Pelodiscus sinensis: one gene and its partners. The main gene of each other region encodes a partner of the protein of the gene in region 3 in a complex. Links are inferred from orthologs where the notes say so. Each region holds a gene or a part of one and is shown on either strand. Other genes may lie near its edges.

What was found.
Region 1: EFTUD2 (region 3) and SNRPG share a complex: the UniProt entries of both Homo sapiens proteins name them as parts of the minor spliceosome. The link is inferred for Pelodiscus sinensis from reciprocal best matches to the Homo sapiens genes EFTUD2 and SNRPG.
Region 2: EFTUD2 (region 3) and CWC27 share a complex: the UniProt entries of both Homo sapiens proteins name them as parts of the minor spliceosome. The link is inferred for Pelodiscus sinensis from reciprocal best matches to the Homo sapiens genes EFTUD2 and CWC27.
Region 4: EFTUD2 (region 3) and SF3B5 share a complex: the UniProt entries of both Homo sapiens proteins name them as parts of the minor spliceosome. The link is inferred for Pelodiscus sinensis from reciprocal best matches to the Homo sapiens genes EFTUD2 and SF3B5.

What each region holds. Positions count from the first base shown.
Region 1 is NC_134738.1:2,089,414-2,097,731, forward strand, and holds the start of SNRPG (small nuclear ribonucleoprotein G), read left to right. Parts: upstream 1-5,136; 5' UTR 5,137-5,239; coding exon 5,240-5,271; intron 5,272-5,689; coding exon 5,690-5,712; exon of another isoform or gene 5,713-5,770; coding exon of another isoform or gene 5,771-5,825; intron 5,826-8,318. Other genes in the region: protein FAM136A, read left to right, coding at 539-754, 2,036-2,224. UniProt on the Homo sapiens protein: Plays a role in pre-mRNA splicing as a core component of the spliceosomal U1, U2, U4 and U5 small nuclear ribonucleoproteins (snRNPs), the building blocks of the spliceosome.
Region 2 is NC_134716.1:91,047,943-91,055,503, forward strand, and holds the start of CWC27 (spliceosome-associated protein CWC27 homolog), read right to left. Parts: upstream 3,166-7,561; 5' UTR 3,026-3,165; coding exon 2,984-3,025; intron 1-2,983. Other genes in the region: uncharacterized protein LOC102460411, read left to right, coding at 3,417-3,429, 6,766-6,813. UniProt on the Homo sapiens protein: As part of the spliceosome, plays a role in pre-mRNA splicing. Probable inactive PPIase with no peptidyl-prolyl cis-trans isomerase activity. As a component of the minor spliceosome, involved in the splicing of U12-type introns in pre-mRNAs.
Region 3 is NC_134739.1:148,723-156,686, forward strand, and holds the start of EFTUD2 (116 kDa U5 small nuclear ribonucleoprotein component), read right to left. Parts: upstream 3,178-7,964; 5' UTR 3,019-3,177; intron 2,141-3,018; 5' UTR 2,137-2,140; coding exon 2,032-2,136; intron 1-2,031. Other genes in the region: DNAAF19 (Ig-like V-type domain-containing protein FAM187A), read left to right, coding at 4,657-4,825, 6,255-6,408. UniProt on the Homo sapiens protein: Required for pre-mRNA splicing as component of the spliceosome, including pre-catalytic, catalytic and post-catalytic spliceosomal complexes. Component of the U5 snRNP and the U4/U6-U5 tri-snRNP complex, a building block of the spliceosome.
Region 4 is NC_134713.1:102,061,854-102,068,897, forward strand, and holds SF3B5 (splicing factor 3B subunit 5), read right to left. Parts: upstream 1,697-7,044; 5' UTR 1,350-1,696; coding exon 1,089-1,349; 3' UTR 571-1,088; downstream 1-570. UniProt on the Homo sapiens protein: Component of the 17S U2 SnRNP complex of the spliceosome, a large ribonucleoprotein complex that removes introns from transcribed pre-mRNAs.

The DNA of each region.
Region 1 (8,318 bases), on a different chromosome or scaffold from region 3:
TAGAGGCCTGGGGCTCTCCACGAATGGGACCCCCCCCCCCAGTATCGAACCTCCCAACACTTTGAGCTGCTAACCTGGGGCGCAGTGACACATAGGTCTGGCCCTGCGCCAGTTTGCAGCGCCAGTGGGTTTGGGGACCCACAGACGGGGGGGGGGGCAGATTAAACAGCCCATTGCACAGGAGAGAGGAAGGGTGTGTGTATTGAGGGGGAGGGGAAGCCGGACAGTTCTGCAAAGCCCAGGGCAGTTGGGAGCAGGGAGGTGACAGGTTCACTGGGAAGCCTTAACACTTAACCCGTGGGGGCTGGAGCTGCTTCAGACCCATTGGGCCTGCTGTGGATAGGTGCCGCTCTGGCCACCCAGAGCAGCCCTTGTCCGCAGTGGGCCCTGCCTGCAGCGGAGAAGGGGGCTACTCCAGCCCTCTTCCCCACCTGGCCTTTAACTGGGATTTTACATCCCTAGCTGGGAGGTGTGCAATATATGCACGGGGCTCTCCAGTGAATGGGGTGTGTGTACTGTGAGATTTGAATGGCTACAGGCAACAGCTTTGGAAGAGTCAGGCCTCTGGCTGCCCGCAGCCCATTCCCAGCCAGCTTTGTTTCCGGCTCTGCAGGGGCACATGTTTCGCTGCAGCGCCGACTGCTGCGAGAATGACAAGGCCTCCATGCAGCAGGTGCACCACTGCATCGAGCGGTGCCACGCGCCCCTGGCCCAGGCCCAGGCTGTCGTCACCAAAGAGCTGGAGAGATTTCAGGTGAGGAGACAGTGACCGATGCCCCAGGCCAGGTTCCATGGGGCCCTACAGCAATAGCATTGGCAGTGGAAGTCTCTTGGAGGCCTCAGCTCCCCGAGGAATCTTCTTCTTGTCCGGTTTAATCTCAAGCCCTGTGCAGAGGTTTGCCGTGGACACATACGGGTTTGGGAGGTGGGGCCAGTCGGTTCTATGCTCAACCCCATTGCAAAAGTAACCTGGATCAAAGGGGACGTACCAAAGCAGGGACTACGTAATGTAAATGGGGCATCTCATGTGGGAGAAGAGGAGGCTGTGAGTGAGGGGAGTATTGGAGAACCAAGGTTGTGCTCTGTGTTCAATCCAGGCTCATTAGGAAGCACAGGGTTTGAAAGCGCAGGACACCAGAAAGGAGAACCTCCTGCAAAGAGAACGTGCCTTTTTAGGGTAGATTTTCCAGTGTGAAAGGGGCAAGTCTGAAAGCGAGCAGGCTGGAGGAGTAGCTACACACACACCGCCACCCCCTAGGGTTTGATATTTGGAGGGGAGCCTAAACAAAATGAGTTTGGAGTAGGGAGGTTAAATTTAATTTAATCCACTAATTGACTAGTTGGTAGATTTTTCCATCGACTAGTCAATTGATCAATAAGCAGGGGAGCCGCAGTGGGGTTAGTTCCTGCTGCGGCTCTGCCTTTTAAATGTATGAAGAGCCACCAGGCTGTGCTGACTCTGGGTCTCCCCCCGGCTGCATACCAGCCATAATGTAAAAAGGCAGGAGCGCAGCGGGGGGACCCAGCGCGAGCTGGGAATCAGCCATCCTGGCTCGCACACAATGGTGTTTCTGATTTTTAAACTTAAGAGCCCGTAGGCTCATAATACATTTAAAAATCAGAGGCGCAGCGTCTGGGACTGGACGCAAACTGGGAATCAGCTGATTCCCGGCTTGCACGTGGTCCCCGCTACCCTCCTGCTTTCCCTGCCCCCTGTGGAGACGGTGCTGCGGGGAACCGGCTCCTGCTGTTCCCCCTTGCTGCCTCGCATAGTCAACTAGTCACTTACATCCCTAGTTTGGAGGTCTCATTGCAAATGATGAGAGAAACTTCCAGATTGCAGCTGGTTTCATTCTTCTTCCAACCATTCCCTCCATTATAAATAATTTTGTTCTGTGTTCTCCAACACATGATGTCCACCTCTTAGATAGCAGGTTAAGAGCTCATTTTTCCCATGTCTGCACTTCCTCCCAATACACTTTCCACTTGCTCCCAGCCATTTGAACCTCTAAGTGTCTGGAATTCTCATTTGCAGGACCGCTTGGCTCGCTGCACAATGCACTGTAACGACAAGGCCAAAGACTCCCTGGATTCAGGGAGCAAGGAGCAGCAGGTGAAACAGCAGCTGGAGAGCTGCGTGACGAAGTGCGTGGACGACCACATGCATCTCATCCCCAGCATGACCAAGAAAATGAAGGAGACTTTGGCAGCTATTACACAATAAATCTGAGTTTGTTTTGGGGGAGAGAGGGAGAAGCATAGCTTCTATTAAGAGAGAGACGTGTACACGGAGATTCGTGTTGGAAATTGAAGCATGAAAATGGATGATAAGGGTGATTTTTGTATTTTCAAAGTATTGCAGTGGTCCATTCAACAGCTGGTTTGAAGTGTTGGTGTCTCGGGTTGATTTGAGAAGTGTCACCAGGTGTGGAGAGGACAGAGTAGTGACTTTGCTCCAGTCCTCAAAGGGTTAATGGTTAGTGTATGTATAGACCATGCTGCTAATAGCAGGATCCTCTATTACTTGATAGTACCTTGACTTACTTTGGTTGTAGTGAATTTAGGGCTGCTGGAAGGCACCTCCAGCTGGACAGGCCTGGAGTGTGAGGGACCTTTGTCCCTGGGACAGGTGCAAACTTCTCCATTGCTGCCTAACTAATATGCCTCAATAGTTCCCTGCAAGTGTTAAGAGTCAGATATAAACTGGTGTAGTTCCATTAGTGTCAGTGGAGCCATGCCAGTGTAAACGCTCTGAGTATCTGGCTCCAAAAGTCCACTCTCCCGTATTCTTGGTGGTGATGTGATGGGCAGAGGATCTGAAGTATAACTACCACTGGGTTTGATACCCTAGAATTCAAAGGGCCATAATTCTTGCCTCACTTGTTCTCTGGGCTATTGTGATTTAAAAAAAAATGCTTTGGGGACAGGATTTTTCCCTCCTCAACTGCCCTCATATCTGCAGAACTGATTGTCTAGCACTGACAGGTTCCCCCTGTCCTTCTAGTGCAAGTGCCTTTATGTTAAAGGAGACAAGAGGAAGTCAGGGAGACTTTTTTTTTTTTGCACTGGTAGGTCAAGTTTCTGCAGTTAAAACATCTTGGGTCTCTGTTGCCTCTCACACTGGCATAAATCAGAAGTGATTCCAATGGAATAAATGGAGATATGCCTGTGTGTGAACCTAGTGGAGAAAAAGCCCTTTAACTTCACCTGACCTCATCAGGCCACCAATCCCGTCATATATAATTCTACAAAGAGAACAAGGTCAGCCAGCTAAGTGTGGGTTCTCTGAAGCAATGAGTCACAAAGAACATGGCCTATTGAAAAGGAATGGCCAATACTACATAATGCTCCACTCATGCTGATTTTACATCTGTATTACTCCTGATTTGCAGTGGTGTAAGGAACAGCAGCATTCAGCCTGAAGTCTATCATTAAGAATTATAGCAGCTGTATTGTTCCATGCAGTGGGGCATAAATGTGTCGTCGTTTCCCCCCCCCCCCCCCCCCCGAGCCTCTGAAAAACAACCACCGAAGGTTTTAATAGGTGGAATCTCTCCTCCTTTTTGACCTGATAACTTTTTGACTTAACGCGCAGAGAACCTGTCCTTGATTCTCCCTCATGCTGGTATAAATCAGGAGTTTGCTTAAGTAAAGAATTGATAGCAGTGTTCAGTGCACTACCAGATTCTGTGTGTTGTGGTGCAGTCTTAAGGTGGATTTCAGATCTCATTCTTCCTCAAGCTGCAGGGACAGGGAGCAAGACAGAGGAGGTTGGTTTGAATGCTGGGGCAAGGTTAAGCTAGTCATGGATAACCATTAATAGCTGCCTCAGATATGGAGCTACTCGGCTACAGGAGTAGGCAATTCTGAATCTGTGGTCCTCAAGGGAAATGAACACAATACAGAGAGGTAGTCACCACCAAAATAAAAAGGGAAATGACATCCAGAAAACAGCAGCACCACCTGGTCCTGTCCTTGTGGCTGGAGACAATGTAATGAATACCTTAGGATGGTTCTATTTATTGTGAGCTGAGAGTCCTGTTTTGTTCCTTCTCATGAACAACTGTAATTAACACAACCATTTTGTTCTGTCCTTTTAAAAACGGATTTATTTTCTAAAAGTTTGATTCAAAAATAAATTTTAGATGATAACTCCTCTGAGTTCTTTCTTACGACTAGGCTCATCATTATGGCTACACTGCGAGAAGTGCTAAATGTGGATTTTGTGTATTCTACTGTGTTTTCCTACCTTGAGCTCTTCGTTTTGTATTATAGTTGGAGCTAGTATGTGTCTCAAACACTGCTAACATTTAAAACAGCTCTAGTTCCAACTCCCTGCTTTGGAACCAAAGAGCCAACCTTATTATTAATCCTGTTTAGTGCCTAGGGAAGCAATGCCAAATGGTGTGCTAAGGACTGCACAAATGGAATAGTGGCATCCCAACGGAACAGTCCCTGCCTCAAAGAGCTTACCAGCTAAAAAGTCAAGACAGGGAAAGGGGTGGCAGCAAACGTATGGCAGGTTCCTCCTGGATTGAAATCGGATTATTTGTCAGTCACCACTTTCTTGTGTAAATCGGAGCCAGATCCAAACTCCGCACATGTGGCAAACCTACATTTTGCGTCTACACGTTGTTAAACGGGCCGAACCAAAACAGCGGATCCAGCCCCCTGGAACGTGGTCAGGGCAGGTTCCAGCGCCAACGCGAACTGAAAAGCGAACCCAGAGGGTCGCTACATGCAACAAGCGAGGCCGTATTGTCTAGGGGAGCCGCGCATTCACATTTCAATGAGTCCGTATTTAGGCAGCATTGGTAACTCCGCGGCCGACGGGCCCCTGTGTGGAACCGGCTTTGGCATTATCTGCTTCGATCTGGCTCCCGAGCGGCCACTGCTTCCCCGGAAAAAGGAGATTGGGCCTCTATTCTGTGGAGTACGGCGGAGGTGAGCTAGGTGCCCTCCTCCATGAGGCGCTGCTGACGGGGAGAGAGGAAGCGGCACGGCCCGCATTGGCTGTTGGGTCAGTGAGGTCATCCGCAGAAGATGCCGGAGACCATGTTGATTGGCTGGCTGGTCTAGTGATGTCATACGCAGGCGCCCGATTGGCTGTCGGGGTCCCAGCACGCGGCTTCGGCGTCAGCTCTGATTGGTGGCTGTATCCGGGACGCGGTGACGCCAGAGGCTGGGTTCCGCGCGGAGGAGCGGGAGGCGGTTGTGCGGGGCTGACTGAGAGGGCACCATGAGTAAAGCGCACCCGCCCGAGCTGAAGAAGTGAGTGCGGCGGGGCGGGGCGGGGCGGGGCGCAGAGCGGAGATCGCCCCGCCGAGGGAGGGGCGGCTGGTCGAGGGGGGGGTGTAATTCCAGTAGGACCCACCTTAATTGCCTACTCCCCCAGTATCCCGGCATGCACCGCGCTGCCCAGTGAGGCCTGCCCGCGCGGGGTGGGCGAGACCCCTCCCGTGGTGTGCACATGGCTGCGCCCCGCCCCGCGCATGGGCGTAGCGACCCCGCCCGCTCAGTTCCGGGTGCCCCGCCCCCTGCTGAGCCCGGCACTCGGCGCCTCCCCTGGCCATTGGCGCCTGCGCACAAACCACGCGGCTGCCCGGGACCGGCCCATCTGCCGCGTTGTGGGGGGGCTCTGGCACGCCCCCTTGCGGCCCCCTAATGCGCTGCCTCCTTGTGCTTTCAGATTCATGGACAAGAAGCTGTCACGTGAGTTATTTGTGTGCGCGCCTGGATTGGTTGTGAGCAGCCGTCACGCTGCCATTGGATGGGCTGGGAGCAGCACTGTACACGTGGGTTGTTTGCCAATGTGTGTGTGATAGGTATGACACACCACTAAACAGACATGCTATTCTTAGTATTGAAACAATACACGGTGGCGACGGCTAGACTGGCAGGATTTTCCGCAAATGCCTTTAACGGAAAAGTTTTCCGTTAAAATCATTTGCGGAAAAGAGCGTCTAGATTGGCACAGACGCTTTTCTGCAAAAGCACTTTTTGCGCAAAAGCATCCGTGGCCAATGTAGACGCGCTTTTGCGCAAAAGAGCCCCGATTGCCATTTTCGCAATCAGGGCTTTTTTGCGCATAACAAATCTGAGCTGTCTACACTGGCCCTTTTGCGCAAAAGGACTTTTGCCCGCATGGGAGCAGCATAGTATTTCCACAAAAAGCACCGATTTCTTACATGAGATCGTCAGTGTTCTTGTGGAAATTCAAGCAGCCAGTGTAGACAGCTGGCAAGTTTTTCCACAAAAGCAGCTGCTTTTGCGGAAAAACTTGCCAGTCTAGACACAGCCATTATATCTAGTAATAGAGATGTAGCTTGCTGAAACAAAAGACAGGACTATGCAGCAAGAAAATTGGCATGACCATATGTACCAAAGGGATACAATCCAAAAAAGTGCACGCACATAAAATTGACAAATCTGATTTTAGAACAGAGGGCGGGTGAGGGAGGGAGGTTAGTGTCTATGAGATAATGATATTAAAATCTGATTTGTCAATTTTATATGTGTTCACTTTTTTCGATTGTATCCCTTTGGTATATATGGTCATGCCAATTTTCTTCCACAATTTGATCTGAGGAAGTGGGTCTGGCCCCACGAAAGCTCATCACCTAATAAACCATCTTGTTAGTCTTTAAAGTGCTGTATAGTCCTGTCTTTTGTTTCACATTATATCTGTGGATGTTGGGAGGTTAACTGAATCAAAGATGGTTCTCCCACAATGCCATTTACCCCATCAGGTATCCCCCAACACTTTGCACCATTGAGATCAGCTTTGTCATTAGAAAATAGAAAAGATTCAAAGGCAAAATATATTGAGCTGCCTAGGAATGGTAAAATGTGGGTAATTGTGTAACCCCTGAAAAAATTCAGTGGTTATACCCACCCACAACAGCAGTTGGCTCCCTGTGGAACTGACTGCCGCCTCTGTGCTAATAGAAAGGCAGCAGCGCAGGTTGGCAGCCAGCTCCCCAAGAGTAAGGGTGGGGGGCTTGCATGTAACCGTGAATGTTAACCAATAAGCTCAGGCTTATCTGTTAACTGCTTACACAGTTACACCTTCACATCCCTAGTATTGCACTGGTAGTGGTTCTTCATGTACCAGTATTTAGAATGCTGGTATCCAAAATAAAGATGAAGGTGCAGAACAATACGTTAAGAAACTGGTACCTGCTAGTGTGTTGGATTTTAAGCCAGGTCTACACTAGACCTGACTGCTCGGTTTAAGGTACGCAACTCCTGCTACGTAGACTACGTAGCTGGAGTCGGCTTAGCAGCGTCCCAAGTAGCGGGAGGCCAACAGAAGCAAAGGAGGAATACCGGATGCTGGCAGGGACACCCTCTGCTTGATTTAGCAAGTCTTAAAGACTTGCTAAATTGAACTCCAGAAGGTCGATCATGGCAGCAGTCATCTTCCTTTTAATAATGACTCAATGATAAACATAAAGTTTTGTCACTTGTGAAGTCATGTTATAAATAATGGTAGTTGAAATGTGTATCTTTGGAGCACATTTTCTGTATAAAGTGCTGCAAGATTTTTGCTTCCCACAAGAAGGATGTTTTGTCTTTAGACAAGATCTTTGGCTAATATTTCTTGAAAGATTTTAAGACAAAAATGGGTGGGAGAGTAGTCAAAAAATTGGGGTCCACCTGAAATGCTGCTGTGTTATTTTTGGTGGTGTTTTCCAATGCAGTTTTAATAGAATTGTGCATCTGAGTGTACAGTAGGAAAGAATTATCATGGAGCTGAATAATGTGTTTGGGGCCATGATAGGTGGCTGTTGAGTTGCTGTGTTTATCTCTGTTGATTAAAGTAATACACGAATGACAAAAATGGGATTGCAGTGCTCCAAAACATGCAGATATCATTGGTTTCTGATCTCCAGTGATGACAACTATGCCGTTACTTTTGTTTACGGTCTCGAAAGTGGCTGCATACGTAAATACATTTATATGATTTTACATACGCATTTATGACAAGAATGACTAAAAGTATTGTGTAGATCTTCAGTCTCCTTCAGTAATAAGAAATATGGTCTTGTCCAAATGACTGTATCTCTACAAATTCTTGTCATAACTAATGTATTATTCAGGTTGTATTGTGGTAAGGCCTAAGGACCCCAATAATAGGCTGGGATCCCGCTTTAAGCATTGTACAGACCTATTATACAAATATTTCTGAATAAGATGTTCTGGAAGGGGTTACAGAGCAGGGAAATCAGTGGTCAGCAGCACACTAACTGCCTGACTACTACAAAATGTTAATCTTCAACTCCTGCATGTTGAAGATTATAATATGAGACATTGTC
Region 2 (7,561 bases), on a different chromosome or scaffold from region 3:
GGGCAAAGTGGGAGGAGACTTCATGTGCTTCCCCCACATCCAGGCCCTAACTGACCTGTGGGTAGGGGAAGTGGCAGGGCTTCCATGGGCCAGATCAACTTGGCTCTTTTGTCCATTCCTGCTATAGTGTGTCCATTGGGGCAGCCATAATACCAAGGAAGTGGCCAGCAGGGCTGAGGCTCTGACATTTTGCCTGCCACCAGAAAAGGTAAGCAAGGCCCTCCTGCCAGGGAGACAGCCCCTGCCACCCTCACTCCCTCACCACAGATGCGGTAAGGGGGAGAGAAAGAGAGACCCTGCTGCACCCCCTGCTTCAGGAGGGATCAGGGGAAAGGGAGATAGCCCCCCAAATCCCGGGAAGGGCCAGGAGGGGAAGAAGAGAGCCCCCTGCCCTGGGTGGAACCAGGACGGGAGAGAGAGAGTCCCCCCATGACCTGGGCAGGGTCATAGGGGAAGAAAAGAGCCCCTGCCATCCCAGAAGGATCTAGGGGGAGGAAGACACCCTCCACTCCTGGCTGGGCCAGGAGGGAAGGAGCGAGCCCCTGCTTGCCCTGGGGACAAGCCAGCAGAGGGAGTTTGTAGTACCCGGTGCCCTGGGCTATCCACGAGGAGAAACCAGCAGCCACTCTGTCCTGAGCCCCCCTGTCCTGAGCCTGCCTCATCCACCCAATGCTCACTCTCACACACTCCCATGCCTCCAGCCTCATGCCCTGAGCTCCCCACATCCCCAAGGCCCTACCCTGACTCCTGGACCCCCACACTCCATGAGCCCTCTGCAATGAAGCACCTGGGCAATGCCAGATAAGTCTTCTAGTAGTAAAGAAAACAAAAAGCCTCCTCAATTCCTTCTTACCATCAGTGAGAGATGAAACTCCCCTATTCTCTTGTTTGCAAGTGAAGCAGCCTATTTACTCTTTCGTAGTCCTTTACAGTTGTTAACGTCAGTGAGTTAATAGTAGTTACAGTCCTTAGTTGTTTAGAGAGATTAAAATTCAGTTGAGAGATCTTCTCCTTCCCATGTACCTTTGGCACCAGGGCATGCCAAGGTCTCCAGGCTTCAAAGCCTCTGGATCCTGTGGTAAGTATATGCTCAGAAGCAACCCCCACACTTCATATATGAAGTGTTTAGGGCAGTGGTCACCAACCAGTAGATTGTATTATTTGTCGAGCCCTGGACATAAGCATCATGCATTCCCCTTGACCCACCCCACACTGATGTCAGTAAAGTTCCCCTAGTGATCTGCTTGCATAATCACAAAAAAGTAGTCCTTTCTGTTGCTGTACTCTATAGCAAGGTAAGCTGGTATCAAAATGGGGATTTGTCTAATGTATATCACAGCCTTGGAATCCCATTGCTACAAATCCATGTACTATGTCTTCCATATTACCAAGAGTTCCAAATTATTCTAAATTGCATACTGGGAACTTTACTCTTATCTCCCATAAATCACGGTGTGCATCATTTCTATCCCACCATAGGAGAAAACTTCCCTAAAGGTATTGTGCTAGACCAGGGTGGGCAATGAGTGGCTCACAGGCCAGACGCTGTTCACCACGGCAGGCCACTGATGCTTTATTTACCTGTGCAGCTGCAGGTACAGATGTTTGCAGCACTCATTGGCCACAAATTGCTGATCCTGGCCAACAGGAGCTGCAGGAAGTAGCGTGGACTGCGACACCACTTCTCGCAGCACCCATTGGTCAGGAACACTGATCGGGGGCCAATGGGAGCTGCAAATGGCCGTACCTGTGGACATGCAGGTAAATAAAGGGCTGGCGGCTTGCCCTGGGCTAACTGTGGTGAATTGCCACTGTCTTATTGCTCACCCTTTCACTATTCAGCGCTGGTTTGCAGGCTGGAATACCTACATGCAAGTCACCACACTTTGCATTGACCCAACTACTCTGCATGCATATGTTCAGTGCCAAGGCAAGCAATCAAGAATGCAAGCACAGGACTATATGCTCACACAGGCAATACGCTAAGCTAACTTGCACCTGCCAACAACTGTAACATAGTTGTAGGAGTGCTGGAACTACGGATGTGAATGGTTAACAGAGCAGCGTGCTGTGGGCAAGGGCGCTCCAGTCCAGCTGGAGCAACCTACACCCGCAGCCAGCCCAGCCTAACTGCTCCAATGTGTCCATGGTGAATGGGGCAGGAGGTGGCTCCAATACATCTGGTCTGGAGCTGCTCCCCCCACACCCGCCCCCATTTATGCGGTTGACTGGTTAAACATAATATTTATCTAGCTAGCTGACTGAATGGTATTTTACATTCCTAGATGGAACCACTTTATAGTGTGGGTGGCGATGATGGAAACCATGTACTTGTTGGTTATGGCTGCTTCAAGCCAGGAGGTGCAGCAGCTCTAGGGATGCAATAGTGTAGCCAATTAACCAATTAACTGGTAAGTAAAAGCTTACTGGTTAATGCTATATATTACACGCATTTCCCTCCTCCCCTGCCAGTAAATTTTTTAGCAGGCTGGCCAGAATCCTAGCTCACACCAAGTCCATGACCTACCCCCGCTGCAGCTCTGCATTTAAAGTGTATTAAGAGCTAGGCAGGCAGGCAAGCAAGCAGCCAAGCTCAGTTCTGCTTTGCACCAGGTCTGGGAACTCTGACCCCACCTAGACCAGAGGCAGCAGCCCAGGGCAGGCAGCTGGTCTCCGAGGGCAGCTGGTTTTTAACCCGGATTCCCTCATGGACCAGCTCCCACCTGGCACCCTGTGCTGCGGCCGCCTCTGTAGCCGAGGTAACGGCTCCTTGGGAGCGGGGCTGGAGTGCGCTGGCTGCCGGCCCCACCCCGGGGGACTATCAAATAGCCAGTAACAATAGGAATTGATGCGGTTTCTTGACTATTCAATTAACTGATACTGAACAGTCCCGCGGGCCCTTCTCGGCGCTGCCCGTCGGGCTCCCGCTCCCTTCGCCTTCCCCAGGGGCCTGGCGGCGGCTTCTGCTCCCCCCCCCCCGCACCTTGCCGTTGGTCGGAGGCTCCTGGATGTAGATGTTGCTCATGCTGGTGGCGGGGCGGGCACGGACCCGGCGACTCCGATTTCGCTCCTGGTCTGGCGCTGCTGAAACCCCGACTAGCTCTGCGAACCTCCCGCCATCTTGGACCCCGGGATTTGGCGCCGCGGCGCGGGGGGAGGCAGCAGGAGCGAGAGGCCAAACGCGGAGCCGCAGCACCCGCTCTGGGAAACGCCTCCGTCGTGCGCCCTAGGCCTGAGTTCCCCCAGCGACCCGCCTCCTCCATCCCCCGCACTGACACCGTGGTGTGATCCCGCCTCCCCTCCCCGCCTAATGGTACGGCCCGGTGTGCGCTGCCCAAAGCCCTCCGGCCGGGACGCTCGGGTGTCGGGCCTGCGTCCGGCTCTGCCCGGGGAGAGCGTGCGGGGCTCGTGGCTTCATGGCGCTGCCAGGTGAGGGCTCTGGCCCGGCGTGGGGGCAGCGGGCGGCCGAGGAGACCCTTGAGACGCTGGCGCGGGAGGCCGGGACGGGAGCCTGGGTGGTGAGGGCGTCCCATCGTCTCCGCTCGCCGAAACCTCCGGTGGCTCTTGGGGGGCCGGACCCGTCCTGGGAGGGTGCCCGTAGGTGAGACGAGCTCGGGGCAAAGGTCCAGGGGGAGACAACGCAGTGAAGCTTTGAAAAGAGCCGGGCAGCAAGTGGGGGCCGGTATCAGCCTAGAAAGGAAGTGGCCACGAGCCGAGTGAAGGAAGAAACCCAGGTTTCGCGGAGGGTCGGGTGGGGGGGGGGGGATAGTTATATACTGATAGCTAAGGCCAGAAGGGTTCATCATGATCAAGTCCTCTGGCATGACCTTTGCAGGCTACAGAATCCACCCACGCCTGTACGTTATTGAAGTCCTTGAATCATAATGTAAAGATGTCACATAACACTTGATTAGCCTCATTTACCCAAGTATCCTCTTTCTTAAGTTGTCCTTGGCTGTGTCTACACTGGGCCACTTATTCCGGAAAATCAGCTGCTTTTCTGGAATAAGCTGCGAGCTGTCTACACTGGCCCTTGAATTTCCGGAAAAGCAACGATGCTCTACTGTACAAAATCAGCCGCTATTCCGGAAAAACTATTCTGCTCCCGCTCGGGCATAAGTCCTTATTCTGGAACACTGTTCCGGAAAAGGGCCAGTGTAGACAGCCCAGTAGTCTTTTCCGGAAAAAAGCCCGGATTGCAAAAATGGCGATCGGAGCTCTTTTCCGGAAAAGCGCGTCTACATTGGCCACAGACGCTTTTCCGGAAAAAGGGCTTTTCCGGAAAAGCAGCCTGCCAATGTAGATGCTCCTTTTCCGGAAAAACTGAAAACGGAATAGTATTCCGTTTTAAGCATTTCTGGAAATTCATGCCAGTGTAGACACAGCCCTTGTGTATATCCCCCTGCCTTGGTAAATACCACTCCAATTTATTTGATGATGAGGATTTTACCTGTGGACGCTTATGTCCTAATAAATCTGTTAGGCTATTTCTACACTGCAGACTTCTTGTGTAAGAACTATTTTGTGCAAGAGTTCTTGCACGAGAGTGCGCCCACACTGCCTTGTGCTTTTGCACAAGAGCATCCATGGCAGTGTGGATGCTCTTTTGCACGAGAAAGCTCTGATGGCCATTTTAGCCATAGGGGTTTATTGTGCAAGAAACCCCTGTTGCCTGACCACACTGCCTTCTTGTACAAGAGCTCTTGCGTAATAGGGATTATTCCTTGTAGGGAGAGGAATAACTCTTGCACAAGAAGTTCTCTTTTCTGATGTTTTACTGTAAATTTACTTGTGCAAGAACACACGTGCAGTGTAGACATTTCACAAGTTTTTGTGCAAGAACAGCTGTTCTTGTGCAAAGAGTCTGCAGGGTAGATGTAGCCCCCATCTCTAAGGTGCCATAGGACTCATTGTTTTTGCAAACACAGACTAACATGGCTGCCCTTCTGAAAGAATTCATCAGTACATTAATATAACTCAACAAGTGATCTCTGTCCCATGCTGTCTGGTATGGAGGAGAGCTGCTTTCTGACCACAAATGCAGCAATCAGACCACTGAAACTTTTCTGCAGTTACAGAGTTACCCAATTACCTGCTTTTTAATATTCCTACTTGCTACTAGCAATTGTAAATGGGTCATACCCAATCTCTGCAGGGGGTGGATGGACAACAACAGAGCAGGGCAGTTTCCCCTGCTTTAAAAAGACAAAGTAAAGCTTCTCTCAGGAACTTACTCAGCAGCAGCCAACACACACACTCTGTCACTGTCACACACTCTCAGTCTGTGTCACAGTCTCTCTTTCTCTAGCCACGAACCCTTCCACCTGAAGCCCTGCCCCTTTTGGGATGCCTGAAACCAACCTGTGGCCAAGTACAAAAAGTACTTGGCACTAATTGTTTTAACATAGAATATCAGGATTATGGTGATAGGATACATGGTAGAAAAGTGACTTTAGGGATGTTGTAACACAGTTGTATTCTGTTTCCCTTTGCATTATGGCTCAATGCTTTTTCTTACCAAAATAAGTTAAAAAGTGAGAGAGGGACATGTTTTGGGCAGTGTTCCCTCTAAGCTGTGCAGGCAGCACAGTTTCACAGGTGATTAATCAGCCCCACCGAGCCAGGCTCAGGGCTCTGTGCATGGAGCTGACTGATTAATCATCACCTGTGAAGTTGTGCTGCCTGTGCATCTTAGAGGGAACACTGGTTGTGGGAACAGGTGATGCTCCTGATAGTAAGATGGCCTGTGAACAAGCACTAGATATGATTGTTATTCACCTTGGGGGAAATGATTTGGGGAACCTGTAAAGGGGTAGGCTCATTGTTCAGATCTAAGAGGGACTTGGGGCAGATCCTAGAACTTTCCCAGGAGTAAAAATTAATTGGTTGGACATGTTGTGACACAGGGTTTGGCAGGAAGCTGTGAAGCCTCCATGGGTTGACAAGAGTAGGAAGTATGAGAACAGAGAGGGGGCCAAAATCATAGATGGCATAAGGGAGTTGATGATTTCTCATCCTGCCATACTATATTGGACAATATAGGGTTCACCTGCAGATTTAGAAGTTGATATGTTTTTGGCTGATATTGAAGGCATCAATAGATTTCTGGGAACTGGGCTAGGTGTGAGGGAAGACAGTCAAGCTAATTGCTGGAGCCTCTGTCACAGATGTTCAGTACAGGTACTCCAATAGGGAATTGATAAAGTGATCCAATAAAATAAATTTAAACACAATTTAAAGAAGGTATTTAAAGGAATGGAGATGGGTGGTTAGAGACTGGTATGACTGGGAGTTAGCCCCCTCTTTTTGGAAGAGGATGAGATGTCCCAGCAGTGGGATTGCTAAGAACCAGAATGAGGAAGGGGCAGCGCTGTCCCCACATATATGCAAATGATTAGAGAATTATATGCACCATAAACTTTAATTTGCTGGGTACTCCGAGACATTTAAATCACATCCATTGTATCTTATCCTTCTGGCCTAGCCAGACAATAGACTAGCTAGTTACAGATTTTTTTAATAGACTGAAGGAGTGGGCTGTGCCCACGAAAGCTCATACCATCTACATGTTTTGTTTGTCTATAAAGTGCTAGCAGACCATTTGCTTGCTGGTTTTTTCTGTAACAGACTAACTCAGCTACCACCTGAAGCCACTGCAATATGCATATGCACTTTGACACCATGTTAAATCAAATATAAAGGATAAAAAGAAACAATTTTGTGTGTTACTAATTAGAACATAAACAGAAGTTTGTTTGTTTTCAGGTGGAAATAAGGATAACATAAGGGCAGGATGCAAGAAGTGTGGCTATCGTAAGTATGAAGGCAGTATAAAGATGTCCACCATTTTGCAGGGAGGCAGGGGAAGCCCCATGCAGCCACCTGCTACGGGCCAGCTGGGGCTGCAAGCAGTGACGGAGGAGAGGGGCTAGATGAGGGGCGGCACTGCGGGACCAACCCGGCAGCACCCCAGCTGCTCTGCCCCGCTGCTTCCGCCTCTTGCAAGCAGGTGGCAAACAGCGGTGGCAGACTTGGGGAAGCGGCGGAGCAGAGCAGCTGGGGTTCTGCCGGGTTGGTCCCGCAACGCCGCCAACCTGGCAGCACCCCAGTTGCTCTGCTCCGCCGCTTCCCCAAGTCTGCTGCTGCCACCGCTTGCAACCTCAGCTGGCCTGTCACCGGCGGCTGCGTGGGGCTTCCTCCGCCTCCTTGCAAAACGGCGGAGGGTTTGCCCCTCGTCGTGCCGTTCCCAGCTGAGCCCCCCCCCCCCCTCGCCTCTCCTGCTGGTCACAGTGCGGGTCCCAGCAGACCCGTCACAGCCCCCTGCTGGAGTACCTCCTGATACCCTGGCATATCCGATAATCCTGCACCTCCTGGGTCCCAAAGGTGCCGGATTATTGGAAGTCTACTGTAATAGACTATAAATAAAAAACAATCTTCAAAAAAAATTAAATACTTTTATTACATATGATATAATTTTAAATAATTATTCCCTTAATTATTTATGATCATTTTGTTGACATACCTTCCAAACCATTTTTCATTGATTTAGAAAAAGGTTACA
Region 3 (7,964 bases):
TATGGGTGGAAACTGGGTAACTATTGCATTTCATTAATATCAGCAGAACTGACTTAGATGGGGCCTGCGTGTTGTGTAGTCCTGCCTTAATCTTTGTATTCATGCCTGTCAGTGTGAAAGAAGCTATTTGCATAAATATGCAACCACACGTAAGTTGCGGCGCTCGGCATGTGCTGGGAGTATCACTGCGGTCCCCGGGGCTTCCAAAGTTGAGTAGCCCTGATCTAGATCATATCCAACTGCAGTGCAGGCCCCAGTCTTTCTGTATCAGGCACCTTTCAAAGTCAGGTCCAGAAAAAGGTTGTGAGGGGCTTCCCATTTTTCAGTTTGGAGGCCATTTTCCCACCTGGAATCCATTTCAGATAGCCACAATGAGCAGCAGGTCATCTTTAAAACAGATCCCAACGCCATATGCAAGTGATGCTTACACGGCAGGCAATCGATAGTAATACCCAGTACACAACATACCCATGGACACACCACATCAAAGTGAAGCTACCAAACCCTGTGCATGAAACCCCCAAATCCCAGTTGTGTGGGAGCTGTGATTTCACCAGTACAATAATGACTATTTTACATGTACATATAAATACTCACACCATAAGGAATTCTATTTCTTTAAAGCAGAGGTGAGGAACCTTTTTTGGATAGGGGCCCCTGACAAACAAACCAAACCAAACCAATCCTCACTGATGTGGCTCAACTGAGAATGAGAAAGACATTCCCCTTGCACGCCAGAACTTTGGGGGCCCAGGCTAGTAGATGTAGTAGTTCAGTTTTGTGCACTCCAGCCCCATGGAGGAATAGTGAAGGGGCTGGAGCACTAGCGTGGGGACCCCAACCCTGAGGGGGACCCCAAGCCTCGGAGGCTGGATCTAGGAAAGCCAGGGGCCACATCCGGCCCCCAGGCCTCAGGTTCCACACCCCTGCTTTAAAAGAATAGCAGTGATTAGTTCCAATTTCTTAGATCATTGAAGATCTACCAAAAATTCAGTGAAAAAGAAATTTTCAACACCACTGCTAAACATACCACTGTTTCTTTTTTCATAAATACCATTCACATTCCTCGCTTCTCTAAATGTTCTTACACCAAGCTCACCACCAGACTCTGAATGCCTCCCAGACGTGCTTTAAACCATATGATGAACATGTCATGTCTTGGGGCTAACTTCTCTTACTTGGAGACACCAGAAAGTATCAGTAAAAATGAGCGATAGTCTACAGCTCTTGCTTAAAACATGAAAATCCTATTTGAATGTGCCCAGTAAAGGGGAAACTCACTTAAAACAGAGTAAGTTTCTTATTTTGTCCCACGTTCAAGACAAAATTCCTTGTCTTTTTCTGGCTATCAACAGGGCAGCCTAGTAGATTTTTTATTTTTATTATATTTTTATATACTTTGTTTTTGTAAATCTATTAAATCAGAATATTTAATAGTACATAAACATTTTCCTTCAAAACTCTAAGTAAGCTTGGTGTTGGGTTCTTTCTCTCTCACTTACTTACATTTTCTGGGGCCAGGAGACACTGACTCAGAAGAAATACAGGCTGAACCTCTCTAAATCGGGACTTTGGTCTGGCAACATCACACCACAGATGTTCCAAGACCAGAGTTCCAATGAAGAGCTGGCAGCCTAAAGCCCTGTGGGCTGACAGTCGGGCTGCCCAATTGGGCCTGGAAGCACAGTGGGGCTGACAGGGTAACGATGCCAACGGCAAGGGGTGAGCAGGCTGGGAGGTCATCAGCCAGGTCAGGGCTGGGGGGCCAGAAATGACCTCCCCTGGTCCGGCACAATCCCTCATTGTCAGGGATGAGGGACGGGTCAGGTCACAAGGGTGCCGGACCAGAGAGGTCCAACTTGTAATTACTTTTCAGCTTGCATCAGATGTCTGTGGATAACTACAGTCTTGATTAAACTTCAGGAGAACGGGAGGAGGACAACTAAGACCAGAATAACTTTCATTTCAGTTTTACATTATTTTGGTGCCATTTATGATAAACGAAGGCTTTTTGCACAAGTTTCACTGCACCTCATCAAGATCCTTGGACTCTCTACCCAGTTCATCGTCGTCGTCATCCGAGTCGAGCTCTGGCCCGATATAATTCCCGAACTCGTCATACAAGTCTGTGTCCATGATGCTACCGTGAGAGAGAAAGTCACGTGTAACGAGACTCCTTGGGGCAACGGTTTCCCGGCACCAGGGACGAAGCGGAGTCCTGCCCCCGACCCCCACCCTTGCCAGTTGAATTATTTATGAAACATCTGACAACTGCCCAGTGCGCCCCTACTCCCCCCCAGCCCGCCCAACACCCCGCCCACGTCACCTCCCTCCGAGCCCCCTCCTGAGCAATCAGTGCCCATCCCACAATGCACCGCGGCCACCCCATCCCCACGAGACCCCCTCTCCCAGCCCGTCACCCGCCCCAGGGCCCCCAGCGCCCCGCCCCCTCCAGAGCGCCCCCACCCCCCAGCGCCCCCCCGGCCCGCCCGTCACCCGCCCCAGGGCCCCCAGCGCCCCGCCCCCTCCAGAGCGCCCCCACCCCCCAGCGCCCCCCGGCCCGCCCGTCACCCGCCCCAGGGCCCCCAGCGCCCCGCCCCCTCCAGAGCGCCCCCACCCCCCAGCGCCCCCCGGCCCGCCCGTCACCCGCCCCAGGGCCCCCAGCGCCCCGCCCCCTCCAGAGCGCCCCCACCCCCCAGCGCCCCCCGGCCCGCCCGTCACCCGCCCCAGGGCCCCCAGCGCCCCGCCCCCTCCAGAGCGCCCCCACCCCCCAGCGCCCCCCGGCCCGCCCGTCACCCGCCCCAGGGCCCCCAGCGCCCCGCCCCCTCCAGAGCGCCCCCACCCCCCAGCGCCCCCCGGCCCGCCCGTCACCCGCCCCAGGGCCCCCCAGCGCCCCGCCCCCTCCAGAGCGCCCCCACCCCCCAGCGCCCCCCCGGCCCGCCCGTCACCCGCCCCAGGGCCCCCCAGCGCCCCGCCCCCTCCAGAGCCCCCTAGTCCCCCCCGGCCGGCCCCACTCACCCGCCGCCGCCTCCGGCCGCCCCTGCTCCTCGCCTCGCGCTCCGCGCCTTCCGCTCCCTCCCGGCAGCCGCTGCGACACCAGCGCGGAAGGACCCGGGGCTGGCCCCTCGCCTGCCCAACGGGCCGCTGGGATTCCCGCTGCAGCCCGCGCCGAGGCCGAGGTCGGGGTGGGGCGGGGCGGGGGGGTCGCAGGCCTGGGTCCGGCTGGCTCCGCGGGGCCGGGGCCGTTTCGGCGGAGCCGGATCTGATCAGGCGCGTGGCACGGACAGCCCTAGCCGGGGGCCTCGGCGCCGCGCCGCTCGTTGCTATGGAGACCGCCAGGAAGCCGGGCTGCGGCGTGGGCCGTGGCGAGGCGCGGGAAGGGGGATCGATCCCAACCCCCCCCCCCCCCTCCCCAGCGAGCGGCTAACGGGCCCCCCGCGGCAAGCGGCGCTGGGCGCCTCTGCAGGGCGATGGGGGGAGGCGGGGGGGCCTGGAGGGGGCGATGGGGGGAGGCTGGGGTGATGTGGGGGGAGGCTGGGGGGCCTGGAGGGGGCGGTGGGGGGAGGCTGGGGTGATGTGGGGGCAGGCTGGGGGGCCTGGAGGGGGCGGTGGGGGGAGGCTGGGGTGATGTGGGGGGAGGCTGGGGGGCCTGGAGGGGGCGGTGGGGGGAAGGCTGGGGTGATGTGGGGGGAGGCTGGGGGGCCTGGAGGGGGCGGTGGGGGGAAGGCTGGGGTGATGTGGGGGGAGGCTGGGGGGCCTGGAGGGGGCGGTGGGGGGAGGCTGGGGTGATGTGGGAGGAGGCTGGGGGGCCTGGAGGGGGCGATGGGGGGAGGCTGGGGTGATGTGGGAGGAGGCTGGGGGGCCTGGAGGGGGCGATGGGGGGAGGCTGGGGTGATGTGGGGGGAGGCTGGGGGGCCTGGAGGAGGCGGTGGGGGGAGGCTGGGGGGCCTGGAGGGGGCGATGGGGGGAAGGCTGGGGTGATGTGGGGGGAGGCTGGGGGGCCTGGAGGGGGCAGTGGGGGGAGGCTGGGGTGATGTGGGAGGAGGCTGGGGGGCCTGGAGGGGGCGATGGGGGGAGGCTGGGGTGATGTGGGGGGAGGGTGGGGGGCCTGGAGGGGGCGATGGGGGAAGGCTGGGGTGATGTGGGGGGAGGCTGGGGGGCCTGGAGGGGGCGGTGGGGGGAGGCTGGGGTGATGTGGGGGGAGGCTGGGGGGCCTGGAGGGGGCGATGGGGGGAGGCTGGGGGGCCTGGAGGGGGTGATGGGGGAAGGCTGGGGTGATGTGGGGGGAGGCTGGGGGGCCTGGAGGGGGCGATGGGGGGAGGCTGGGGTGATGTGGGGGGAGGCTGGGGGGCCTGGAGGGGGTGATGGGGGAAGGCTGGGGTGATGTGGGGGGAGGCTGGGGGGCCTGGAGGGGGCGATGGGGGGAGGCTGGGGTGATGTGGGGGGAGGCTGGGGTGATGTGGGGGGAGGCTGGGGGGCCTGGAGGGGGCGATGGGGGGAGGCTGGGGTGATGTGGGGGGAGGCTGGGGGGCCTGGAGGGGGCGATGGGGGGAGGCTGGGGTGATGTGGGGGGAGGCTGGGGGGCCTGGAGGGGGCGATGGGGGGAGGCTGGGGGGCCTGGAGGGGATCGTGAGGGATGCCAGACACAGGGAGCAGATGCTCAGCTTGCCACCCCCTGCCCCCTCCTCCCAGTGCTCCATGTGGCTTGAAAGTTTGTCTATTGGACCCCCCATTGCTGCTGCAGGAGACAAGCTTTCCAGCTACACCAGCTCTTCCTTCAGCACCCTGAACTTAAACCCTGGGTGCCACGCTGCACCCCCTTGTGAGGATGTTAAGGACTAGTCAACTATTCGATAAACAAAACGTGGCGCTGCCGCTTTGAAATGCCACGCGGAGCCCAGGATCAGCTGGGGAGTCCAGAGCTGACCCAGGCGCCGCGCAGCATTTCCTTGGCACCCGGGATCAGCTGGGGACTTTCCAGCTGATCCTGGGCTCCGCATGCAGCATTTCAAAGCACGCGGAGCCTGGGGTCCACTGGGGAGTCCCCAGCTGATCCTGGATTACTTGGAAATGCCACGCAGAGCTCGGGATCAGCTGGAAAGTCCTCAGCTGACCCCATCTCCGTGCAGCATTTCAAAGTAACCCTGAGTCCCCTGCTGACCCCAGGCTCTGTGCAGGCATTTCTGCTTTGACATGCACAAGAGCCACTGCTGAGGATTCTTGTACAGTTCAAAGCTGCCCTCCCCTCCCCCTTTTGCTCTTGTGCATTTCGATGCAGAAGCGCCTGCACGCAATCCGGAGTCAGCAGGACTTCCCGCTGGCCCTGGGCTGCACGCAGAGTTCCGAATTCCCCCTTTGAAATGTACAAGAGCCTCCACTGGGGAATGCGGAAGTGCAGGGGCTCTTCTACATTTCAAAGGAGGAATGCGGAAGTGCCGATCGACTACTCGACTAGTAAATTAACCAGTATTTAACATCCTTACCCTCTTGTGTACTTTGGGAAGGGCCTCACTCCAGGAGTATTGCCATGAAACAGGAGATTTGCAGAGTATTGTGCTACTCAGCAAGAGGAAAGGTTCCTGCCTGGCACATAGGGCTTTCTATTTACTGGCATCTGAATCTGACCTTGAATATTTTACACTCTCCCCACATGCCTATTGCCGATTTGTAAACTTTTAGGCTTTATTAACTGAAAAACAATTAGGAGTCCTCTGGCGCCTTAAAGACTAACAGATTTCTTTGGGCTGCTTATGCCCACATAAATCTGTTGGTCTTCAAGGTGCTCACAGGAGGAGTTCTAGTTTTCACAGATACAGATGAACACAGTTGCCCCCTGAGACTTTATTAACCACCACATTCTTAGTGGGGGATTTTAGCAAAGTTTGTGTGACAGCAGCCTTCAGTTAATGTTCAGGGAGTGTGATGATCAAGCAATACACAATAACACCTGTTTTATGTGACAAACTGTGACTCCAGAACAAAACCACTTTGTGTAGTAGAGGTTGGTCTTTAACAACAGATTAAAAATTGCACTGGAGACTTGGGCATCCTTTCAAGTGGTTATTTAAGACAGGAGTTTGCTTGACTGAGGTGGGATCATTAGCACATGACACACTCTAGTAGTTACTTACAGTAAGTCTAGCAAGAATTCTGGGGATGAAATGGGTGGCTGTGAAAGAGAAAGGAGTACTGTATTCTCTTTGTGTGATGCTTATGCACTAAAGTCACTCTTGTGGTTTTTATGTTTTGCTCTTAGATCTTTGGAATGGAGGAGGCTGAAGCAATAGATTTTTGTGCATTAGAGAGAGAGCTGCAGGCTGCTGTTGCTGCTGATGAAAAGTACCAAAGAGAAAATGATGCCAAGTTCCGAGCCGTTCACCAGAAGGTGGCATCCTATGAAGAGTTCAGGTTTGCAGGATTTTGGTTTCTTTGCGAGTCACAGTCTTGGGAATGTAACAATCGAACATTCTTTCGTTAGGATAAAAGTTTCATATTGATCACAGAATCATGGAAATGTAGGACTGGAGGGTGCCTTGATGTGTCATCTAGTACAATAAGCCCTTTTAAAAAATGTGTTTTTTTAGTGGTTAGGGAGAACAATTTATCCTCTTAAAACAACCTACTCTTTAAACCCTTGTCTTTTAAACAACCTTTTACGTACTTTAGGGCTATTATGTCCCCCTTCTGTCTTCTCCAGACTAACAATCCCATTATTTTCTGTCTTTCCTTGTAAGCCGTGTTTTCTAGACTTTCAATAATTTTGTTCCTCTCCTCTAGAGTTTCTCCACATCTTTCCTGAAGGGAAGTGCTCAATACTGAACAAAAAACTCCAGTTGCGGCCTTATCAGGCTGACTAGAGTGGAAGAATTATTTTTTGTGTCTTGCTTTCAGCATTCTGGTAATTTATCCAAGAATTATGCTTCCTTCTTTGCAGAAGAATTACATTGTTGATTTAATAACGAGTGGTCCAGTGGCACCTTAGAGACTAACCTGTCGTGGCGGGCCTGGGCGTCCTTCAGGCAGGGGCTGCTCTGGCTGGGCTGAAGCAACCCCTTCCTGAAATGGGGGGGCCACTCCAGCTCGGTCAGGCTTGACTGCTCCCCCACATACTCCCCCCATTAATTGGTTAACTGGGCAAACAATGTGTTTAACCAATTGAATGGGGTTTTGACATCCCTATTATCCAAATGATTTCTGAAGAAATTGAACAGAACCAGCCCCAGGACAGATCCCTGAGACCCCACTCAATCTGCCCTTCCAGCTTGGCTGTGACTACTCTCAGTTGCTTTTATAATGCCTTGTGCATCCCTCTTACAGCAGGTGCGTTTAGGCTGCGTTCCTCTAGTTTGTTGAGGAGAAGGCAGGTGAGACCGTATCAGGAGACTTGTCACATCTAATGCTTCTCCCTGTCCTCAAAGGCTTGTTGCTTTGTCAAAGAAGGAACATAAGGTTGGTTTGTTCTTGACAAATCCATGTTGACCACTACCTACCTGCTTATTATCTTCCCCTAGCAGACTCACCCTGTGCTGCCCGGGTCCCTCAGGGCAGGGCCTTGGGCATGTGGGAGGGGGGACAGGAGACTCAGGGGTGGAGAGTATGAGAATGGGGGCTGAGGAGGGGCTCAAGATGGGGGTATCGCACCTGCCCACCAGGGGCCTGTTCTCCCCCTCCCACAGGCCTGCTCAGCCTGCCAGGGGCCTGTTCCCTCCCCCCTCGTACCCTTCACCTGCCAGGGGCCTGTTCCCTCCCCCCTCGTACCCTTCACCTGCCAGGGCCTGTTCCCTCCCCCCTCGTACCCTTCACCTGCCAGGGGCCTGTTCCCTCCCCCCTCGTACCCTCCTCCTGCCAGGGGCCTGTTCCCTCCCCCCTCGTACCCTCCACCTGCCAGGGCCTGTTCCCTCCCCCCTCGTACCCTCCACCTGCCAGGGCCTGTTCCCTCCCCCCTCGTACCCTCCACCTGCCAG
Region 4 (7,044 bases), on a different chromosome or scaffold from region 3:
AACATTTCATCTCTGCCCAAGACGCCTACACTGGATTTCTAGGTACTTTACTCTTTCCAAACAAAACCATGAACGTTATTAATAGGTCTAGACAGAAAAAATGTTTGACTTTTGCTTCTTGTGGAAATGGATAAGAGTTTATATAAACTACTAATAGCAGTCTTTTAGCAAAAAAGTTTTAGCCTTTCACAGATTCCCTGCAGTGTTTTACTCACTTCTTACTGTATGCATTCAAGTACTTAATTAGTGAGCAGGACTTTAAACAATAAGAATTTTGATGCTGCAAAGTTACTTTGTTGTGCATTTTACTAGCACAATACATTGATGACTCAAGTTAATCTTTTGGAGCACCATCAAAACTACAAGGTATTTGAACGTTGGTAAACAAATATGATTGAAATGCAGGATAGGGAAATAGCTGAAGTTAATGCCTTTTTTGAAAACCATGATTCAAGCTTCAAAGCAAACACACCCGAAAACCCTAGAAATGCACATTGCTGTAGCTTGACTGGTCCCTCGTTCTCTTACTGAGCCATAAGTTATCTTAAAGGCAAATCACCAGGAGCAACATTTGAAAGAACTCAACGCATTTTTATTTCACATATCAAAAAACCGCAGCACTAAACAAAGAGGGATCGTAAACAGAGCTGCTCCACAAGAAATGGGCGAGTCTCTCCAGCTCAGGCCGAGTCCCCACAGGAGCAGCGGGCCAGGCTGGGAGTGAGTCCAAAAGAACGGGCTTTCCTCGTATCCAGGTCCCACCTCGGGAAGCGACGACAGATGGTCCAGGTTCCCCCGGCCCGGGGCTGGCACAGTCCAGTCTCTCGCCCAGCCCACGGCCGCTGCTGGAGGCGAGGCGGCGGGGCAATGCCTAGGCCAGTCGCGAGCGGGGAGGAAATAAGAGTTCAGCCCGGAAGCGACGAGGCAGCTTCCTCTCGCTCCTCCTGGAATCCGTCCTCACCCCGTCCCGCGTCCATCAGGCGTCGCTCCCCTGCGGGCGGGCGAGTGCTGGGGAAACCGGGCCGGGTCCATAGGCTGGAGGGGGAGGGCGCGAGGAGTGTCCCGGGCTGGGTAGAGAGCCGGCGGCGCTAGGACTCCTCGGGCTTGTCGGCGGGCGGGCCACAGGGCTGCAGCATCTTCTCCATGAGGTTGAAGCGCACGCGCGCCTTGCTCTCGTTCTCGGCGATGGCGAAGTAGTTGAGCAGGTCGAAGTGGCCCATGTAGGAGCAGTACGAGTCGCGGTGCTGGTTCACCAGCCACTCCCACTTGGTGGTGTCCGCGTGCCCCGTGCCGATGTACTTGGACTGCAGGTGCTCCAGCTGGCTGTGGATGGTGTAACGGTCCGTCATGGCGGCGGCGGCGGCAGGCGACACCCCGGGCAGCGCGGACCAACGGCTGCTCCCAGGCTTCTCCCCGCTCTAGCGCAAAATGGCGGCCGGAAGTGACGCGTAGAAGGAAATGCGTAATGTCCCCCGGGAGCTATTGCCTCCATGACTCACCGGCTTTTCCGCACTGGCAGGAGAACAACGAAACTGAGGTGCAGGTCGCCCAGGGGCATGTCGGGATCGCTCGCAGCTGAAATACGAGGGAAATTCGGCTGCCTCTGGGCGGCGCATGTGCTGTCGCGCTAGCGCGGCCCCAGTTGCATGCTGGGAGCAGTAGTCCCCGCGCTTGCGAAGGGGAGGGGGATGCGGCCTGTCGCTCGGCCTGCTGATTTCCCCGCCTCGTTCCTGTCTGCGGCCTGACACTGGGGGCGTGGCTCTTCCCGGCCCCGCCCCCAGCCCGGTCCCGACACCGCCGCGTGTGCGCAGCGCGTTCGTGCAGCGCAAACTGCCCCCGGGCGCCCACGTGTCCGTCGTTTTACTCCCCTCGTGGGTTCACTAGCGGAGAATGACGTGGTGCCCTGGAACAGAGGAAATGGTTCGAAAACTGCAAGGGGCCAAAGGGGCCTCCCGCCCCGCCTGCCTCTTCCGCGTGAGACTCCCTGGGAATGGGGTTCTGCCTCGGAAAGAGCCTGAGCAGCTGGTAGAGGCTGTGCCCTAGAGGACCAGCTTTAATCTGTGTTAAAGCAAACATGGGAGTGAAATCGCACCCCTTTTAAAAACTGATTCAAGTAGACGGTTGGGAGCAGAGCCGCATTATGACTTTAGTGGGCTCCTTCCTCCATTAAAAAAAATTAAAAATATTTTTGATATAACTTTAAATACTTCAACATTTTATTTTTTTCTGTTTTAGGCAAAATTTAATAGATTTTCGTGGGCCCTGAAAGTTTCCTTTTTTTCTGATGTGAGGAAAAAAATTAAAATATTATCTTCAACCCTAAAAGTTCATTTTTTTTCTTTTGATTTTAAAAAAAATTAAAATTATTTTCATGAGCCTGTAAAAGTATTGTGGGCCCTAGGCACTGTGCCTACTGGTCATATGCGGTTCTCTAGATATTCTATAGCCTGGTTTTATTATACGAGTTCAGATACGCTAATGTTATCACCCGAGTTATCAAATCTACTTTACAGAACTATTTTATGTTTGATCTTACAGCCATAGAAATCAAGGAGAGTTTTGTTACTAACTTGAAAGAGGATTGACTGAGTATTTAGTTTGGGTATATGAGATCCTGAATTACTGACATTAATCTTTAAGCATATATTTTACAATAATATTATATTAAAGGTATTGGCCTAAACTTGTAACTGTCAGTGTGCTCACTAGTATAAAGCGTCAATAAATTATTTTTATACAAGATTTATTATGAATAAGTAAGGGACTATAGTTCTCCATATATGGATTCCCTGAAGTAACTGGGCTACTTCAATGTATAAATAAATATTTACTTGCAAAATCTATTGGTTTAAACATTAAAAAACACTTTGAAATACACTGTAGGGACTCTAAGTGGCCACTGGATGTCAGAATTGTACTTGAATACAGAAATCAGCATGAGTGGTTGCTGCTATAAAAGTGTCATAGTACAGGTCATTATAGCAATGTTCTCATATGAGACAGCTAGGTCAATGGAGAAAGACAAATACTGTGATTTTCTACCTCAAAGCTATAAAGCCTTCCATTTGTCCTGCATGAGACAGAAGAGCCCACACATGATATGTCACTATTTTTGGTTTTGTTGTCCTGCTGATACAGTACCAAAGATGTTCCTGAAAATAAATTGCTTGAGATTTCTCCAGAGACCAGCCTGAAATATGTTAGAATAATGTGGGGCCTAGGGTAGGAAAGAATTTCCAGTCGTAGTTGGAAAATACATTATATTGCAAAAGATTATGCATTTTTCTTGCAAGCAGGCCTCTATGGCTACTGACTAACAGGATTCTTTGATAATTACTTGCACAGATTTTATCACCTCTTCGTTATGCATGGCTAATAAAACCTCTTGTTAATTACATGGGTTTTTTTTCCTCCGGATGTCCCATGGTGCAATACACATTGTGAAAGCCTTATTATATGTACATAATTGGCCAAACACTATGATGACACTACAACTCACGTAACCACATAATGTGCGTACATTGCCCCTGTGAGTACGAGCTGGAAGATCTTTCTTTACTGAATAATCTTGTGTAAAGCTCTTTCTACAAGTTCCCATTTCTCCTCCTCGCTATCCAAATCTTGATTCCTTTCCATAAGTGAATTGCTTATGATATATTTTAACATAAAAACAAGGGAGCCATGGTACCTATCTCTAAATCTAGCCTGCACTCCCAAAATATTACACTGGCCCAGTTACATGTTTGAGATTTGATATTTAGCAGTGCATCTCAACTAGCGACAGGAGCTTTGTCAGAGGAATGGAGAGATTCCCAGCTTATAACCCTGAAAGGGCCTAAACTATTAGTTTTAAAAATCAGAGATTTTTAAATGAAATTTATGAGGGGGGGGGCTAGCATATGTTATTTCAGTTTTTAATTTTCCTATAAAGCTGCTAGATGTACACACCTAGCTGTGCTGCTAGATGTACATACCTAGCTTTATTAAAACTCTCGGAAGCATTTTTAAAGTAGTTTTTCTATAACATACGTGGCATGTACATGATAGCATAAGGGCAGATAAAGACCATGATCCTGCAAGGCAGCCTTCTTTGGCTCCTACACCAGTGCTTAGCTCCACTGACTTCAGAAGGACGGTACACTCAGGTGAAGGAGTTTATAAGAGAGAAGCTAAAGGCTATCTGCAATGACCCTATGTAATGCAGTCATAGTTTCACAAAGTGTGACTAATACAATTAATACTCATACTGATGACACCTTTTTTTCCTAGTTCCCAGCATTACGTAATAGATTATGTAATAATAAAATGTAGACCCTAAATCAGTATTTAACAATAAAGTAATTTAGTTTCATTTAGAAACTGATAATCTATTCCCCAGCATTCATGCGTATTTAAAGGAAGTTTCACACTAGAGGTCACAGCATCTATTGTAACCCATAGAAAAAAGCTTCAAACAACGCAATTTAAGAAACATGGGACTGAGAGAGAGCATCTGTTTAAAGAACACATTAAATGTCTCAGAAAGAGATAACTATCATAGTTGCAGGGACATTCTGTATTCCAAAGCCTTTACTTTGAAAATAAAATCCTCTCTAAACAAATGCGCTGAGTTTGTGTTTGAAGCTAAAAATACAGCAGACAAGTCTGCCAGGTGAATTTAACCTTCTTAGAATTACTGAAGGATAATTAAAAAAAAATCACAAAGTTATGTTTTTTTTCATTCATTTTGGTAATAAAACATCTTAAAATCAAGCAGATTATGTTGGCAGCTATACTTTGATTTCTCCTGCCCTCACCGTCTTTCTCACCTTTCTTCCAGGACCTTGTTATGTCATTCATCCCAGGTAAAGTATCACAGCTAATACAGAGCTGAGGGAAACAGCTGTCTGTCCTAAATACATGCAGCCACAGCAGAACTTGTATGGTGGCATAAACACATTTAAATCACCCTCTATAGGAAACCTCAGTTTAATTTTTTTATGGTCAGTCTAAGATAGAAGGAGCTTGTCAGAACAGTATCCACTACAATGTTTCTCTGCAGCAGGGCAACTTATGACAGAAGAAAACAACTTATTATCTCCTCTCTTTATGTTTTTAAATCTTATCCTTAAAAACTATTTAATAGAGCAGTCTTCATGTTCATGTTTAAAATATTTGTAAAGAAACTTAAAATTGCTCTCCACAAAGAAGTCTTGTCTGTTTAAAAACACTAATATTAATCATTTCAGTTAGGTACTAGAACGGTAGTATTCTAATCTTTATCTTGACAGAACTCTAACATTTCTATTTTGCACCAGTCTAAAACTCATCTCTAAACACACTGGCTGTGTCTAGACTGGCAAGTTTTTCCACAAAATCAGCTGCTTTTGCGGAAAAACTTTCCAGCTGTCTACACTGGCCCCTTGAATTTCCACAAGAACACTGACTTCCTACTGTAAGAAATCAATGCTTCTTGCGGAAATACTATGCTGCTCCCGTTTGGGCAAAAGCCCTCTTGTGCAAATCATTATTGCATTTGATTAATATTAGAAGAACTGACTTAAATGGGGCCTGTGTGTTGTGTAGTGTTGCCTTAATCTTTGTATTCATGCCCGTCAGTGTGAAAGAAGTTATTTTCATATATTTGCATATATATTTACATGTATATGCAACCACACTTAAGTTGCAGCCCTCGGCATGTGCTGTGAGTTTCACTGTGGCTCCTGGGGTTTCCAAAGTTGAGGAGCCCTACTGTATGGTACAGGCTACTGTGTACAGTATTGCCAACCCAAAACATTCTCAATTCATTATTCAGACCCTAACAATTGTAAATTAGATTAAAATAATGAGATTTTAAAATTGTGATTCTTGTGATATTTTGAGCCATTAGATTTCACTGAATCATATTTGTTTTTCTCCTCTACCATGAGAGCTAGAAATTTACATTTTTTGAAGTGAATGCTGAAATTTTCATGTATTCAGATGACTCCAGGACCACCAATTATATTGAGCATTGGCAACATAGTTGCCTAAGAATTCTACCAAGCAGTCAAAAATCCATATGATAAATAGTTTCCTTGTGTATTCAAGTACAGCAGCTGCTTCATCCACATTAGTATGTAAGCCATTTTGTTTCTTGGAATAAGCCCCTACAGTCAGAACTGATTCATGGTTATTATAAACGTTCATTCTCCTTATGAGTTCTTTCTTTTTCCCCTAACTTTGTCTGTCATCTATATTTTGATTGCAATCTCTCCTGAACAAGGATTGACTCTAATTCTATTGTGTACAGAACCTAACACAATGAGGGCCTTAGCCACTACTACAATAAAAATAATAGTGTGGATATTGGTAAAATTTAACTCTGTGCAGTGGGGCAGCACAGGCATTTGTCAACACAAGCAAGATACCTTTTAACATTTTAATGGAATGGGAATATGTATATTTGTAAAAAGAGAGAAGAAAGTAATGGAAAATTATCACAATCATCTTTCTAGAGTGTTCTCCAGTTTTCTGCACCAGTTTTCTGCACCACTATACATAGGATCAGTATTCACTAGAGGTGCATCTACACAGCAGGGCTTGACGCGAAATAAGCTACACAAATTGAGCTACGTCAGAGCGTCCACAAAGCACTTATTTAAAAATAGAGCACTCTTCCTCTGACTTCTTTTACTTCTCATACCATGAGGGTTACAGAAGTCAGAGTAAGAAGTCCTCCAGCTTGACAGTATTTCGACATTATTTCAAAATAACTGCCTTCAGTGTAGACGCAGATTAAGTAATTTTGAAATAATGCTAGTTATTTTAAAATAATGTTACTCTGTAGACATACTCTAGGGGCTCAGTATTGAAAGATGATGAGCACACTGTTTCCAATCAACTACACTCAGCACTTTGCAGGATCTAACCCTAATTGTAAAGAAGTTTGAAATGTTATTTCCAAATGTATCAGAAGCAAAATCACTATTGCAAAACAAAATGGCAGCTATTCCAATTGACGACAAACACATTATATAACATTGATATTTGAATCCATGTGGCATGCTAAAAGATGTGAAATTA